4 linked regions of the Macaca mulatta genome follow. The protein of the gene in region 1 purifies or fractionates together with the protein of each later gene. This does not show direct contact. Links are inferred from orthologs where the notes say so. Each region holds a gene or a part of one and is shown on either strand. Other genes may lie near its edges.

What was found. Proteins that work in one complex are often made in the same cells at the same time.
Region 2: the proteins of MPHOSPH6 (region 1) and EXOSC1 purify together in Homo sapiens (affinity purification with mass spectrometry; 5 studies listed by BioGRID and IntAct, counting the BioPlex papers as one, with this or other methods). This does not show direct contact. The link is inferred for Macaca mulatta from reciprocal best matches to the Homo sapiens genes MPHOSPH6 and EXOSC1.
Region 3: the proteins of MPHOSPH6 (region 1) and DIS3L purify together in Homo sapiens (affinity purification with mass spectrometry; 3 studies listed by BioGRID and IntAct, with this or other methods). This does not show direct contact. The link is inferred for Macaca mulatta from reciprocal best matches to the Homo sapiens genes MPHOSPH6 and DIS3L.
Region 4: the proteins of MPHOSPH6 (region 1) and C1D purify together in Homo sapiens (co-immunoprecipitation; 3 studies listed by BioGRID and IntAct, counting the BioPlex papers as one, with this or other methods). This does not show direct contact. The link is inferred for Macaca mulatta from reciprocal best matches to the Homo sapiens genes MPHOSPH6 and C1D.

The regions. Positions count from the first base shown.
Region 1 is NC_133425.1:77,514,615-77,518,828, reverse strand, and holds the end of MPHOSPH6 (M-phase phosphoprotein 6), read left to right. Parts: intron 1-869; coding exon 870-960; intron 961-2,982; coding exon 2,983-3,077; intron 3,078-3,521; coding exon 3,522-3,654; 3' UTR 3,655-3,711; downstream 3,712-4,214. UniProt on the Homo sapiens protein: RNA-binding protein that associates with the RNA exosome complex. Involved in the 3'-processing of the 7S pre-RNA to the mature 5.8S rRNA and play a role in recruiting the RNA exosome complex to pre-rRNA; this function may include C1D.
Region 2 is NC_133414.1:109,495,404-109,499,596, reverse strand, and holds the start of EXOSC1 (exosome complex component CSL4), read left to right. Parts: upstream 1-1,386; 5' UTR 1,387-1,410; coding exon 1,411-1,441; intron 1,442-1,548; coding exon 1,549-1,664; intron 1,665-4,080; coding exon 4,081-4,155; intron 4,156-4,193. UniProt on the Homo sapiens protein: Non-catalytic component of the RNA exosome complex which has 3'->5' exoribonuclease activity and participates in a multitude of cellular RNA processing and degradation events.
Region 3 is NC_133412.1:43,767,818-43,772,099, forward strand, and holds the start of DIS3L (DIS3-like exonuclease 1), read left to right. Parts: upstream 1-1,475; 5' UTR 1,476-1,528; coding exon 1,529-1,667; intron 1,668-1,750; exon of another isoform or gene 1,751-2,026; coding exon of another isoform or gene 2,027-2,114; intron 2,115-2,908; coding exon 2,909-3,062; intron 3,063-4,282. UniProt on the Homo sapiens protein: Catalytic component of the RNA exosome complex which has 3'->5' exoribonuclease activity and participates in a multitude of cellular RNA processing and degradation events.
Region 4 is NC_133418.1:56,665,851-56,670,145, reverse strand, and holds the start of C1D (nuclear nucleic acid-binding protein C1D), read right to left. Parts: upstream 2,808-4,295; 5' UTR 2,756-2,807; intron 1-2,755. UniProt on the Homo sapiens protein: Plays a role in the recruitment of the RNA exosome complex to pre-rRNA to mediate the 3'-5' end processing of the 5.8S rRNA; this function may include MPHOSPH6.

The sequences.
Region 1 (4,214 bases):
AGAGCTCTGACTGATAACACTGTTAAAGCTGCCCAAGCCTCTGATTTCCCACTACTTATCCTGGATTTGTAATAAGAATTTGGTGGGGGCCAAAATCTCAGAAGTCACCACTAAAGAACTTACCCGTGTAATCAAAAAACCACCTGTTCCCCAAAAACTATTGAAATTTTTTGAAAAAAATCTGTGTATAAGTGTACCACACAGCTCAGACCTGTGTTCAAGAATCAACGTAAATGCAAGTATAAAAAAGACTGGAAGGAAATACTCAAATATACTAACAGTCCTTTTTAACCTCTTGGTAAGGAATTTCCAGGCAGTTTATAAACTCATACTTTATTCTGCTTTCCAAATTATGTTCCTTAAAATGTGCTGCTTTGATAATTAGAAAATGGAATTTTTGAAATCCCTGAGAAGAAAATACAAAGTATGCCAGAAACTTTAGTAAAATGATTTGGAGTAGTGTGTCACTGTATACTGTATGTGTATTTTTACATACATATTATTTCCTTTCTGAAAAAGAATTGAAAAAAATTTTTGGTGAGGGGATGTAAACACAAAAGAAACTTTGCTTCAACTTTGGCAAATTCAAGTTTATTGTAGATACTTTAGATCTTTATATTATGTAGGTATTTATGCAAATTAAATGTGGTGTTTAAGAGAGGTTGTGCCTCCAGCCTGCTGCCCTTGTCTCCTAATGCCTTTGCTGACCAAATTAATCAGATTTTATTTTTAACCCTAAGTTAGAAATCTTACTGTATTTTTACTTCATTCTACTGAGAACCATAGGTTGATTTTTTTCATTCACAGTTTTGGCTTTTGTTTGTTGTGCTTTATATACGGAGAAATGCTATTTCTATGTTCCCATTTAGGAGTTTCATAATAGAAGAGCAGAGTTTCTTACTATGTGAAGATCTTCTCTATGGAAGAATGTCATTCAGAGGATTTAATCCTGAGGTTGAGGTATTAAATATAATTGCTTCAAATTTAAAATTTTTCCAATTGATTTTTTTTCTGCTAATAATTGGGCTTAGATATTTCTCTACCAAGTACCATTTCTACTCATTATATAGAAAATAACAAGTCTTGAAATATCACCATAGCTATTTAAAGAATTGCAGGCATTGTAGTCTAGTTTTGTGGTAGAGGTGAGTAGATAATTTCATATAGGGGTATACAGCCCTTGACAGTGCCACTGTAAATATTAGAATTTCAAGTTGAGTCGTTTACAGGAACGTCAAGATTTTATTCATATGATGCTATTATGAAAAGTTATTTTCTGGCACCTATAAATGTATTTTTTCTAATGGAAAAATGTTACTTTAGAATTGTATAATTTGACTTTTTAATGGACAGTTTTAATCCAAGCTTGTAAGTAGATTTTTAAATGAATCCTTTGGACAGTTTGTTTGAAAAACGAATATTTGCCTTATAACTGAGCTATTCATTTGAATTTCTGCTCCAGGATAGAGAAGCAGACCTTTATTTAACAAATATTCATTAGAACTCTGGCTCATATGTTAAAAGCCATCCTGTCAGGTACTTGATGAACCAAATGGACACTTGAGATATAAATCTTTAGTTTTGTAAATATTACACGAAGTCAGGGTTTCTCGCCCTTGGCAGTGTTGACATTTGGGGCCAGATAATTCTTTGTGGTGGTGGCTTTCTTAAGAGGATGATGAACCACATCCCTGTCCTCTGTTCTCTACCAACTAAATATCAGCACACACACACCCCACCCTCCAACCCAGTTGTGACAACCAAAAATGTTTCCAGGCATTGCCACAGGTTCCCTGGTGGGAAGAATCGTCCCCAGTTAAGAACCACTTCTGCAGGAGCCACAGTTAACTAAGCCAGTTGCCACAGTTTATTGAAAGACTCTAGATTAGTTTTCCTTTTCTGCTTTTTTGGCAGAGTGGAAGGAGGCATGTGTGATAATTAAGGTGTTATATTAGAAGTGTTTGTTTTTCATATCTACTGGTCTCACTTTGACCTGCTTTAATTAAGCTTCAGATTGAGAAGGAGAGGGGCTGCAGAGTGGGGTAAAAAGGGAAGAAAAAGGCAGGGATTATGAAGATGTGGTGTTCAAAGAGCACGGTTTGGATAGGCGAGCATTCCACAGTACGTCTGCTGCGCTGGGACAGGAGAGGTGCCACTGCCCGCAGAAATTGATGGGGGGCAGGGATGGGTGTTAGCAAATGGCCGTAATTACTGGATTCTGTAACACCGAATACACTCCCCCTAGGAAAAGGTTTTGAACTATTGTCACTCTTTTAAGCCTTAGAAAAACTAGTTGAGACTGATTTCTCATCTTGTATTCCTTCTCCTCTTGCTATAAAGAAGAGATTACACATTTAAAAAAAAAAAAAAAAAGGAAAGGTCAGAGGATAATTATCACAAAGGTTTATGTGAAAGAGTTGAAGGAGAGACCTGTGGTGCATGGATATTACATGGGATGCATTATCCACCCTAAAGTTTAGGAGGGTGGGGCTGAGGTGCAGATTCCCTCCATCATACAGGGCCAGCCTTCCACTTCTGCTGCCGCCTCCACGCACCACCACCACCACCACCAAGAGATGCATTTAAAATTATTGACTACTAGTGCTTCTTCCATTTGGCTTAAAGATGGAGTGGGGGAAGTTCAGAGAAAATCTGAAAGTTTATTATTTCTTCCCCCACTCACTGGAATGTGTCAGCAGTATGCCTGCTTTAAATATCAGTAACTAGTACTAAGATTTATGATCTTAAATACACTTTTAATTCACACTAAATATAATCCAGTGGGGCTTTGCCTATTTTTTTGACTCAGAGCTGACTTCTGTTAGACCATTGTGATATCAAGTATTACAGAGAGTCCCTTATCAATTTTAACTAGTTCTCTAGATTATTTGACTTCGGTTTCTCTGCCTTCAAAGAAGTTTGACATCAGTTCCTTTCACAAGCGTTTTCTAGCCTGAAGGTCAGCACTGGTGTATTTTTCAGAAATTGATGCTTCAGATGAATGCTAAGCACAAAGCAGAAGAAGTCGAAGATGAAACAGTGGAGCTTGATGTGTCAGATGAAGAGATGGCTAGAAGGTAACCGTCCTGCGCAGCAGCTTTCTAATCTGGACCAAGCATTCATTGGCTCTCCCAGGAATGCTTCTCTTACCCCACAGTCCACGGCAGCTTTCAAGGGAGTCCCCCTAGTAGGAAGATGACTGTGATCAGCCTTCTCTTAATGGCCTGCAGGGGCCGCAGACCTGTCTCAGGCTGCCAGTTGAGAGCCCATTTCCAGAGCTGCTGGAAATGTGTATTTTTAAATGTACATCTCAATTTATTTAGGGTAATGCAAACACCAAAATGGCAAGGAATTTAATCACTCTTGGAGAAGTTCATAAATTGTTAAATCAGATGGTTTCTTTTAATCATAGTTTTCTTTTTCTTAATCTTTTTTATTGCATATTTGGTCTGATATTCTTGACAAGGTTTGATTCCTACCTTTTTATTTGAAATTAAACGTGCTGTCTATCCTCTTGACAGATATGAGACCTTGGTGGGGACAATTGGGAAAAAGTTTGCCAGAAAGAGAGACCATGCCAATTACGAAGAAGATGAAAATGGAGACATAAAACCGATTAAAGCAAAGAAGATGTTCTTAAAGCCCCAGGATTAAGATGGATGCCTTAAGCAATGGACCATGGGTGCTTGATGGAAGTCAGCAGCGCATCTGGAGCTCATCCCGATAGCGTCTCTATAGTTATTAATACTGTAACGTTTACTTTGTAAAGAGATGTATCATTTTGGAACCATGCTGTTTAAAAAAACAGATGTGTGATGGATGTTGTACATCCTTTGCTTCATGGTATTCATTCATAAATTTTTAGCCCCTGATCTACAAATGTATATGTTTTTACAGGGCTGCTTCCTAAAGTTTTTTTGACCTCGGGTTTATCGTAATATAGTTCTCCAGTCACTGACCTTGAATTGACTCATATAAATTACTGCCAATGTTTAAATTGCCCTTATGTTTATATTTAAATTATTATGTCAAGCCAATTCATACATACAGTTTGGAATCAAATATTCTAAGAATTTATTAAATAAATTTATCAAGAATAAATATGCCTCTCCAGGCTTAAGTGTTTACGTGCTCCCAGGTCATTGTCAGTTTATGGTATTGTGTTATTTAAAGCATTGAATTAATAGAAAAAAATTGCTCTGTAATAAAAACCT
Region 2 (4,193 bases), on another chromosome or scaffold:
CCCAAGGGGAAAGTCGACTGAGGGGACAGGGAGGGACAGGCGGCAAAGCCATCAGAAGTCAGGTGAACTGAGATCAAAGTCGTGGGCAATGTCATCTGGACAAGGACGCTGCTCTCGGGATGTTTGCAATCTCAAGTAGGAGATACCAGACATCAATAAAGAGTAGCATTTTATTCACGTGCAGACCTCCCTTCTGGGGTAACACGCTGAGAAGAAAAAGTAGCAACTTTATTTTGGGGCTGCTTATCTTTTGATGACGGGCCCACACAACCAGAGTTCGGCTTTTTCAACCTGAGAAAGCTTACTTAAGTGGGGATGGGAGGCCGCGAAGAGGATCGGACCGCAGGACTGGAAGCTACAGTTAAAAAACCGGGAAAAGGCCGGGCGCGGTGGCTCACTTTGGGAGGAATCACCTGTAATTCCTGCACTTTGGGAGGCTGAGGCGGGCGGCTCAAGAGATCGAGACCATCCTGGCCAACATAGTGAAACCCCGTCTCTACTGAAAATACAAAAATTAGCTGGGCGTGATGGCGCGCGCCTGTAGTCCCAGCTGCGCGGGAGGCTGAGGCAGGAGAATCGCTTGATGCCAGGAGGCGGAGGTTGCAGTGCGCAGAGATCGCGCCACTGCACTCCAGCCTGGCCAAAGAGCGAGACTCCTTTTCAAAAACAAAACAAAACAAAAACCGGGAAAAGGTTTTATTTCTCAATGACAGCCGCGAGGTGAAACTGCGATGGACTGGAAGTCAAAAATCGCGGGTTCCAGTTTGGGCTCTATCTTGAAGATTTTGGACAAGTCAAACCCGGTCTCTGAATCTGAGGTTCCACATCTGTGAAACAGACGAGTTGGGTCGCTTGACCTCCTTCCTTCCTGCTCTGAACGTAACGGTTGCTCGCAAGGTGCGCTCCGGCTGAGGAGGGCGCAGCCCCGCAGGGCAGGGCGAGGAGAGAGCAGGAACCTGGACTCAAGACAAGGCCCCAGGGCATTGCCCGACCCAGAAAAAGGGACTAGGATGGGGAGCAAGGGCCGAGGCTTCGCCCTTACCTGCCGCCTGCCGACTCCCCAGTCAGCCAAACCGAGCCCCGCAGCCTCTGCCGCCGCTCACTGCCACCCTCTCCGACTCGGCGCCCCGGCCGGGCCCGGCTCAATCCAAACCACCATGGCCCGCCGCCTGCAGTGCCACCCAGCGGACCCGGACCTGCCGCCAGCCCATCCTCAACCACACGCGCAGGCGCAAGCATGGAGCGCTGAAGTTCCGCCCCCGGATTTGTCCCGGGGTAACCTGGGAAATGGAGTTTACACGCAAGGATAAAGAACACCAATTGACGCGTATCTTACTGCGGAACTGTGCCTGGGTTTGGCCAATGAGAAATCGATTTCGTTTTCATCCGGCTTTTGGGACAGCGGCAATCATGGCACCACCTGTGAGATACTGTATTCCCGGTAAGTGAGCGCTTCCCGTACAGAGTCCTGGATAGGGGCCGAAGCAAGAAGCCTGGACGGCCTGCAGTTTCTGGGGGCCCATGACCGATGCAGCATTTTTTCTGCAGGCGAACGTCTGTGTAACTTGGAGGAGGGCAGCCCGGGCAGCGGCACCTACACCCGCCACGGCTACATCTTTTCGTCGCTTGCCGGCTGCCTGATGAAGAGCAGCGAGAACGGCGCGGTAAAGGAAGCGGCATGCCGTCTCCTCTCTCTCTGTTTTTCCCTTAGGCTGCCCTTGAGTTCCAGTCCTTAGGCATGGGCACTGCGGACGCGTGTTTAGAGCCTTAGTGGTACAATGTTGGTCTCTTAGTTTCTTCTAGCCGTATCGCCGCTGTTGTGCACTTAGCCACCACACACTAGTTGTGTTGATCTCGCTTGGTTGTGCTGCTGACCCTCGGGGAGGGAGGTTGGGACAAAAGCAGATGCGAACTCAGTAACCTAGCCCAGCTCAGCCCAGCAGTGCGTTGTATACTGTATGAATGTTGCTTACCTCTCCGGCTTACCTCTAGTGCCACTATCTCCACCTCACTGACGCGATCTAATCATACAGTCTTTTCTATTTGTAAAAGTTATAATCACAGTTTTGGCTTGCCCTTTTAAAAAAATTTGTAACACACTAGCTTCTTTCAGTGTCGGTAATGTGCCAAGCTTTCTCCTGCTACAGAGCCTTTGTAACATGCCATCTATCTGGAACGCTTCTGTCTTCTTAGGCCTGTTTAATTCCTACCTCCGTTAGTTTCTGTATTATCACCTCAGAGAAGCCCTTCTGGACCCACTAATTGAGGAAAGGAGTTTTGTGGGATGTTTTGTTTTTGTTTGTTTTGTTAAAGACTTACAAAAAAACTCTGTCCCTTTTCTTCCAAGCACTTATGTCAGCATATGATTAGACACTCAGGTATGTTTCCCACTAGACTTCTCCCTTGCTTAAATCTAAGTTCCACGAAGTGCAGGTGCTACCACCATACCATCAGTATCTAGCACAAAGCAGCTCCTCAATAAATGTTTGTTGAATGCGTAATACCTACTTTTCTAGTTTTAGAGATTGATCCAGGATTAGCTCAGGATCATATAAGCAATATTTGAAGGAGCACAGTAGAAAGAGGATTCAGAATTAGAACCGTTAGGTTCTGGCTAACTTGACCTCGATTCTGCTTTGAGTAAGTAACTTAAGCCGTCTGACTCAAGGGGCTTTCTATTCAGTCATTGTTGGGAATGTCCTTAACAGTCCTGAGTTTGTTCATTTGATAGATACCACTTGAGTATTTTCATGTGTCAGGCACAGCGCTGACTTGGTTTCTGCTATCAAAGGACACAGACACAAATTGTAAACAAATAAATGCTCAAATAAGCATATGGTTACACATGTGGTGGCTGCTTTGAAAGAATATTACAGGGCACCTTAAGAACATGTAACAGGCAAATCCATCCTAGTCAGCAGAAGTGACATTGAAGCTGAATCATCTAAAGAGTAGGTTAGAGTCAGGTGGGTGGAGAGAGTGCAATTCTGGCAAAAAGAATAGGTTGAAGAGAGATCTGAAAGTGGGAAGAATTTAGTAAGTTGGGGAAACTGAAAGAAGGCCAGGAGAGCTGAAGCATTGTAAGCAACGGAGAGATTGTTAAAAGATGAGGCTCAAAATATCTGTCTCATACCAACAGCCAATACCATGCTCAAAGAGAAAACTCTGCAAGTATTCACTTAAAACAAGCGTAGCTACTATTTGTAACATTTCTGTGGAAATTTCAGCCTGTGCAGTAAAATAAGAAACAGAAAGAAGCAGTATAACTTTGGAGGAAAGAGTAAAATTGTCAGCCAGATGTAGTGGCTCACGCCTGTAATCCCAGCACTTTGGGAAGCCAAGGTGGGTTGATCACCTGAGGTCAGGTGTTCGAGACCAGTCTGACCAACATGGTGAAACCCCATCTCTACTAAAAATACAAAAAATTACCCGAGCATGGTGGCAGGCGTCTGTAATCCCAACTACTCGGGAGGCTGAGGCAGGAGAATCACTTGAACCCAGGAGGTGGAGGTTGCAGTGAACCGAGATGGCGCCATTGCACTCCACTCTGGGCAACAAGAGTGAAACTCCATCTCAAAAAAAAACCAAAAAAAGTAAAATTGTCAATGATTATAGGCAATATAGTTGTATACCAAGAAATTCTGAGAGAATCACCAGAAAACTTATTGGAAGTTTAGGGATTTACTACAAAAAAAATTAGCCGGGCGTGGTGGCAGGTGCCTGTAGTCTCAGCTACTTGGGAGGCTGAGGCTGGAGAATGGCATGAACCCGGGAGGTGGAGCTTGCAGTGAGCCGAGAATATGCCACTGCACTCCAGCCTGGGCAACAGAGCAAGACTCCATCTCCAACGACAACAAAAAAAAAGAAGTTTAGAGGTTTACATCTTCTAGCAGCATTCTGTAGCCCCCTGGTCCTCCTATTTCCTAAAATTTCTAAGGCCTTCTGCTCTGGCCTATAAATGAATGCATACTCCAGCTCTCACCTGTGTACCAAGACATTCCTATATTACTCTCAAGACACAAATGCTTTGACCCAAGAGTTAGCCAGGACATTTCAGTTTTTTTCTTTTTCCCTCTGTAGCTTCCTGTGGTGTCTGTAGTAAGAGAAACAGAGTCCCAGTTACTGCCAGATGTCGGAGCTATTGTAACCTGTAAGGTAAGTTTGTCCTAACTTCCATGCTTAGAACGCCCATT
Region 3 (4,282 bases), on another chromosome or scaffold:
AAGCAGACTATAAAGTCCCTAAATGCAGGACCTGTATTTTACTCATCTGTGAATAGCACGGTAATTACTTACAAGCCTGCTTTGAATTCAGTCAGATTCTGGCTTGAATATTGATCCCACCACTTAATAACTGGGTAACCTTGGCCACTTAACTTCCCTAACCCTGCTTTATAGTTTATAAGATAGGAATGATAATTCCCCATTCCTTTGACTTGTGGAAATTAAATGGGACACGTATACAAAGCTGCTAGTGCAGCTCAAAAGTCTTAGTTGAGTGCTTGGAAGAACAGTGGATTCTATCCAAACAAGGGTATGTGATCTCAGAAGAGACCGTGTGTATCTCTTTATCAAGACGTACAGGCTGGGCGTAGTGGCTCACGCCTGTAATCCCAGCACTTTGGGAGGCTGAGGTAGGAGGATCACTTGAGCCCAGGAGTTTGAGACCAGCCTGGGTAACATAGTGAGACACTCCCATTTCTACCAAAAAAAAAAAAAAAAAGAAGAAAAGAAAAGAAAAAAAAAAGCTAGGCGTGGTGAAGATCGCTTGTGCCCAGGAGTTCGGGGACTGCAGTGAGCCGAGCCGTGATCATATATTACACTCCAGCCTGAGTGACAGAGCAAGACCCTGTCCAAAAAAAAAAAAAAAAAAAAAGCTATTAATACAAACATGTATACGTTTGTGATTGTGTCACAGTGGCAGTTTAAAGGAGAAATCCTTTGCCAGAGGTTGCAAAAGCTATAAAAGTTAGAGTGGAACAGTGCTTCAAGGGAAGAGATTGGTTTTCATTTTATCTGCATTGTTTGAATATATAAGTACATGATAACTTCAATAGGGATACCAAAACAAATAAATAAATTTTAAAAAGAACATGAAAGGCCAGGCGCAGCAGCTCACACCTATAATCCCAACACTTTGGGAGGCCGAAGCAGGTGGATCGCTTGAGACCAGCCTGGCCAACAGAGCAAGACCCGCCCCCCTCACCCCCCTATAGAGATAGACAAAAAAAGAAAAAAACTTTTTAAAAAGTACATGTAATTTAAAATGAATACAACTTTTTAGAAATGTTGGGCTGGCAGGGTTGCCGGCTTATTTGGTGAGTCTTTCACCTCGTTTGGAGATAGCGAGAGCAACGAAGAGAAAACATTAATTACCAGGTATTGGTATTAATACGGCGGCTCCATTCCCACATGGACCTGGGGGGACAAAAACTCCTAATCTTGGACAGCTGCGCCCAGCCCTTCTTCACCTGCGGTCCAGGTATCATCCTAGTCTTCCCTCCGTCTCTGGGGTGGGTCGTTTCCAACCCTCCGCCCTGGTCCAGGCCACTGAGGGAAGGGAACAAAACTAAGGCCGGGAGGGCCGGGCCCCAGCCTGGAGTGTGTGGCTCCGGGCCTCCCCCGGGTGCGGCAGTTACGGCGGTTCCGGAGCCGCGGCGCCCAGGGCCGAGGGGCGGGCCCGAAGCCGCGGCCTCGCCTCCGCCGCGCCGGCCGCTCCCGCCGCTCCGCGGCCTCCCGGAGACACGCCGCCATGCTGCAGAAGCGGGAGAAGGTGCTGCTGCTGAGGACCTTCCAGGGCCGCACGCTGCGGATCGTGCGCGAGCACTACCTGCGGCCCTGCGTGCCCTGCCACAGCCCGCTCTGCCCGCAGCCAGCCACCTGCAGCCACGGTCAGGGCCGGGGCGGGGACGGGGCCGGCGGGAGCGGGCGGGACTGGGCGGCTGCGGTGACGGGGTGAGCGCGGCCCAGAGGCGGAGCGCCAGCGGCGGGGACACCGAGGCGTAGGCCCCGCGGCCTGCGCCCGCCCGCCGGCCTCACACCCAGCCCTCTGCCGGTCGGGACCCAGCGGCCCAAGTCCGCGGCTTCCGGGGTGCCCCGCCCGGGACTCCCCGACTGCTCCGCTCTGTCCAGTGGGAGAGCCCGAGAGACCCGCACCCCATCCCGGAGACCGGGTGGCTTGGCTCCTCAGAGGGGCCCAAGGGCGCGGAAGCCGAGCGTTCCTCCCGCCGCAACCTCGCGCGGCGGAGAAATGGGGAGGTCCCGAGCCGGGAGCCCCCGGGAGCTGCGGGCCAGCTGCTGCCGCTGCGAAGCTGACATCATCTGCTTTGCAGCCACAGGTTTCCTGACCTACCCGCACTGGTGCCCCAGACTTTCCCGCCCGTGGAGAGCCTCTTCACCGTAGTTTTGTGAACTATCTGGGCCCGCACTGGAGAGGAAAGTCACGGGGAGGTTGGACTGGGGACTCCTGGGCCCCTGTCCTTGGTTTCTAGGCTGCAAGGGTGGCCGATAGAACGATGCGCGCGTTACTGGCTCTCTTCCCCCATGGGAGGATGAGCATGGGATGGGGGTCCTTGTCAGCGAATGTTTGGAATCCTCCAGACATTGTGATTAAGATGAACATTTCAGTTAGAGCTTGGCTAACCGGCTCTCAGATACGGGCCTGGTGGAAACCCCACCTCTGCCCGTTGCTTGCACGGATCATTTTCTCCATTCAATCTTTCTGGCTCTTGGAGGCTGCTGAGCACGTGCAGAAGCTTGACACAGAGCCAACTTGAAATTGCTGGGCATCATACACAAGTGGTATAAATGTGGGGGTGCTTCATTTGAATGTGTTTGTCAATGATGAGGTAACACTGAAATATTCAGGTTATGCTGAAAATGTGCTTGTTCGTTGTTAAATCAGTCATCCTCTCCGGCACCTCTGGCAACACCATAAACCACGTTGAGCTTGTATTTATTACAGCTTCAAAAAAAATTAGGGTGCTCAATATACCTGAACTTTGGGTCTTTTAAAAACTCCCACCGTGGAGTTAAGACTGGAAGTTATTTTGTATGCCAGAGCACCGTGACATTTAAATAAACCAGGTTTGAAAACATTGTCTAATCTCTTACATTTTGAATTATGTTCCAGATGGGAAACTCTTGTCTAGTGATGTGACTCATTACGTGATCCCAGACTGGAAAGTTGTTCAAGATTATCTTGAGATCCTTGAGTTTCCTGAATTGAAAGGAATTATTTTCATGCAAACAGCTTGTCAAGCAGTGCAGCATCAAAGAGGCCGGAGGTATACGTTTTGCATTCTTTATTTCTATATGGCATAGGTTCCCCCCCACCTTAGAAAAGCTCCCTTGTTGGAGGAGGATGGGAGGAATTCATTATTTTGTCAGAAAGGACTTTTTAAACTAATTTTGTATTCTCTTTGATAGTGAGGAATGCAGTAACATTATTTTATATTTCTGCTGCAACACCTGGCCAAGAGATCTGACTGTAGATCAATAAACTGCAGTGTCCCCAGTATGTGGGTATTTAAGATTCTAGTGTGAATTGGCTTTTGGCTTGCATTTTTATAGTGGTAGGGTTACTGCTTATTTCTTGTTGATAATGTGTATTATTTAATCTTATTTATAGATACATTGTTTCAGAAGCATACATTCTTTTCTTGGGGAAAAGAGTACTTTATTTTTAAATTTTAGACTCCTTTATTGGAGATGCAAATTGTAATGATTTATTCAGTAAAACCAGAAATAGCTTGTTTTATTTTTAGATTACTAGTGTAACTACCAGCCATAGTCATTGTATTTGCTAAACAAAGCATTTCCAATTGAACCAGTCTAAAATTCTTGCCTTGTACTTAAATGAAGAATAGTTGTCTACTTTTTAAACAAATACCTTAAAAAACGATTTCGCTTCCTTTAATGTTGAGAAAGGTTTATGACTTGAACTTAAGACTGTATGGAAATAGCATATTAGAATTATATGTCCAACCTCTTAACACTCTAAGTTATTTAATAAGCACAAACTATGCATTTATTCTTTTTTAAAATGTTGTGGTTTCTTCAGGCCTTGGTAATAAAAGATGAAGTGTTTTTATTTGTATATGAAAATGACAAATTGTCCTCTTATTATACACTCAGTTCAAAAAATGTACATTAACCAGATTGTGTGCAGGTTTTTTTCAGACAGAATATTTTTAAATGAGCTTCAAGTTGATTTTGTTCAGACACCAAGATATAGATGTTTATACAGATCCAAATTTAAATGCTGCTCCAGGTGTCATATTTCAATTTCTGCTACTAAAATCAATTTGTTGTTATCATTCGGATTGCTAACACACTGCGAGCCTTTTCAACTTCTGTTTTCTAAAATATTTTTAATGTTAAGGATTGTTTTAGAAACCAATTTCTGGGACATTCAAAGACAAAGAGTTGGAATTTAAACGTCTTTTCTCCTGAACATTTCAAGAGTAGTTAACTTGATGAAAAACTATTGGTTTTCCACTGCCTT
Region 4 (4,295 bases), on another chromosome or scaffold:
TATCATCTCATCTGAACTACAACACCTCCATGATTAGTCTCATGGTTTTCACCTACCCCACCCCACAACAAACTATTCTTAACACAGAAGCCACAGAAGATTCTATTAAAACCTAAGTCAGGCCAGGCGCAGTGGCTGACGCCTGTAATCCCAGCACTTTGGGAGGCCAAGACAGGCAGATCACCTGAGGTCAGAAGTTTAAGACCAGCCTGGCCAACATGGTGAAACCCCATTTCTACTAAAAATACAAAAAAAATTAGCCGGGCGTGGTGACACGTGCCTGTAATCCCAGCTACTTAGGAGGCTGAGGCAGGAGAATCGTTGGAACCCAGGAGGCGGAGGTTGCAGTGAGCTGAGATTGCACCACTGCACTCCAGCCTGGGCAACAGAGCCAGACTCCGAAAGAAAAGAAGTGGGGGGGGTGAGGTGGGGTGGGGCGGGGCGGGGCAGGGCAGGGCAGGAAAGGAAACAAAAGAAAACAAAAGAACAGACAATAAAGTAAAGTAAAACAAAATAAAACATAAAGTAAAATAAAATAAACCTAAGTCAGATCATGTCACTCCTCTGCTCTTACCTTTCCATTGGTTATTTACTCACTGGGCTATTCCTCAAGGTAAGATTCATGTCGAGGTACATTTTGAACACATCACTAACATAATGTCTTGTCATGTATTAGGTATTTAGCAACTATTTGTTAACTAACTAAAACCAACCAAAGTAACCTAAGACCTAATTTTGGAAACTCTTAATATCAGATTACAGTTTGAGCTTACAGATAATAGAAAGTCACCACATGGATCCAAACAAACATATGATCATGTACGTTCTGGGGCTCTTCCCATCTCTACACCAAATAATTATACACAGTTATGAACTAAGCTTGAGAATAAATCCAACATGATTGTGTTTTGGAACTTGAGAGCCACTTGCTGTTGCTGCACCAGAATTCTATCACTCGTAATGAATTACTGGAATGGCTTTTTTGCACTGCATTATCTCAGGAGAAAATAACAATGAAATGTACACACAAGTTCTCAATAAATATTGCTGTCTTGGGCAAACAGTGACTCCATGTTAGTATTGTCTGTGACTCTCCTTCAGTCTCACAGTACAATTCCTGAGTACATACAGACTTCTTCCTTTTCTAAAAAAGATATTAACATCTAAAAATAAATGTATCCAGAAGTCTAATAATAGAGGAGTATATAAATTATGAGGATATTGCTCAAGATTGAGATGAATAACTACATTAGATTAAATTTACTTCTATTCAGTGTTTAATTCAAAGCATTTCCAAAATTACAGCGATCAAGCAGCAAAATTACCTTCCAAAACATATGGAAGTGGCTTATTACAATCACCTCATTTCTTAAATAACAGTATATGGGGTTGCTGCATAGATTAAATAAATAATATAGATAAAAGCCATCAGAACAGGGCCTGGCTCAGCCCTCAATACATTAGATAGTATTTTACCAAAAGTGAAAGTTATCAAATACTCTAATCCATTGTGGACTATGTAGAGCTATGCTTGAAGGGTCAACTGTTTGGAAACAGTAGCTGAGATAATACATATGAAGAGCCATTTGAAAAGGTAAAAGCAGTTAAGAAAAAAAATTGCATTACTTCTGAACTGTGATACATACAACACAGCTAACTGAAGGCAGCTGTAGTATCTTTTGACTGAGAATTTTGTTTTATTTTGAAAAACCATTATTCACACTTATCATTATCTTTCAACAAAACAATGAGTTCTATCATTTCCACTAAACGCAAATACTTCTCTGTACTTCGACAGGGCTAATCTGTTAATTTTGAATCAAAAATACAGGGTTAAATAACTAAAAGTATAATTGGATTGTTTGTAACACAAAGGGTAAGTGCCTGAAGGGATGGATGCCCCATTTTCCATGTGATTATTACACATTGCCTGCCTGTATCAAAACATCTCGTGTACCCCATAAATATATACACCTACTATGTAACCACAAAAATTTTAAATTTAATTTTTTTAAAAATCACGGTTAAGTCTTGGTTCTGTCTACCATCAGACAGTACCAATGGGTTAATAAGTGGATAGCAGACATCTCATTGCGACAAATAAGTCTGTATCAAGCCAAAACTGAATTGTATTCAGCAAACATGAAGACATTAAAGGTATTTTCAAGCAAGTTTTAGTTACACTGAACTTTCCCGGGTCATCAAGAAAAACTGCTCTCTTGGATTACCCACCACAGATTTCAGCTAAAGGTCGAAATTAGCCCACTATCTCAGACGGGCTAATACTGCAGCGGCAGGCAGTCTGTGAATGTGAATGATAAACGGAGCTAACACAGTAAAGTGACTCCCCTAGACGTCCCACTTTAGCCTCTCTCCTTACGCAAGATTTGAAGACAGCTGAAAATTGTGAAGTCATGTTTTTTTTGTTGTTGTTGTTTTTAATTTTTTCGTCTTCCAAGAGTTGAGAAGGGGGTGGTTAACAAACGAAGAAAAAGAGAAAGACCGGAGCAAGAGAGAGAAATGAGGGGCCGGGGTAAGCCAAAGCCTGCAAGCAGCCCCAAAACAAGCGGAAGTGGGGGACCTGCAGCAATGCTGCCCCAGCGAAGAGCTGTGAGACACTGCATTCCTGGAAGGCTATGCAGCCAAACTCCGATTCTCTCAGTCTGCCCAGAGGATTACAGGGGAATCCCAGGAGAGGAAAAGCGGAGTTAAACAGGAGGAGGAGAAAAACTGAAAGTACAACTTTGAAAAATACCTCAGGGCCTTCGACTACAGTCTCCGGAAAGCGGTCGGGCAACGATGACGACAATGACGCGCCGGCTGTGCCCGCGCCGAGGGGCGCTTTCCGATTATCTCACGCTGCTCGCCACGCCCCCGCTCCTTCGCTCTTCTCTAAAGGCAAATCTCGAAATGAGTAGCTCGGGGCCATGTTGTGGGAGAGGATTGCGGCGGCACTCTGGGAACCTTTGTCTACATTTGTACCCGGCCAACACTCAGCCCAAATACAGGTTGAGTGTATTTAACCAGGAAAGAAATCTTAGTTACTGAAACTTTGTATTTTTACTTTCCCGGGAGCTTTTCCAGGGCCCTCACTGTTACTACGCTTTTATTGTCTGCCTCAAGATCAGCGTCTTAGAGCAGCTTCCCAGATTATCCGTGGGGAAGAATGGGTTGTTTTTCCAATCTGTCAGTAAAAGATACTTCTATAATACAGTAAAAATGAATTAGTAGAAAAATGGGGAAAATATGTGCAAAATACAAGCCCAAATTTTTTATTATTAGTTTCAGTAAATGTAAAATTGCATTTCAACGTATGCAATCAGAAGAAACATAATAGAAAATAAAGGCATTAACAGAAACTGTACATATTGTTCGTTGAAAGTTTAGTATAAGCGATTGAGCATTGTCTTAACATTTGTAACTTGTCATTCCATGATCATAATTTGATAAAAATTTATGCCTGAGTTGTCCATATATTAAATGCATGTAAAAGCATTTTGAACAAGCACCATGTATGTAATATTTAAAGTTTGGGGGAGGTCACAAGATGGCCGAATAGGAACAGCTCCAATCTGCAGCTCCCAGTGTGAGTGAGGCAGAAGACAGGTGATTTCTGCATTTCCAACTGAGGTACCAAGTTCATCTCACTAGGGCTTCTCAGACAGTGGGTGGAGCCCACAGAGCAGGGCGGGGCATGACCTCACCTGGGAAGCACAAGGGGTCCGGGAATTCCCTTTCCTGGCAAAGGGAAACCGTGATAGACCATAACTGGAAAATCAGTACACTCCCACCCTAATACTGCATTTTTCCAGCGGTCTTAGCAAACGGCACACCAGGAGATTATATCCCGTGCCAGGATCGGAGGGTCCCACACCCACAGAGCCTTGCTCACTGCTAGCACAGCAGTCTGAGATCGAACTGCAAGGCAGCAGCGAGGCTCAGGGAGGGACATCTGCCATTACTGTGGCTTGAGTAGGTAAACAAAGTGGCTGGGAAGCTGGAACTGGGTGGAGCCCACCGCAGCTCAAGGAAGCCTGCCTGCCTCTGTAGACTCCACCTCTGGGGGTGGGGCATAACTGAAAAAAAGACAGCAGAAACTTCTGCAGACTTAAACGTCCCTATCTGACAGCTTTGAAGAGAGTACTGCTTCTCCCAGCGCGGAGTTTGAGATCTGAGAACGGACAGACTGCCTCCTCAAGTGGGTCCCTGACCCCTGAGTAGCCTAACTGGAGACACCTCTCTGTAGGGGCCAACTAACAATTCATACAGGTGGGTGCCCCTCTGAGATGAAGCTT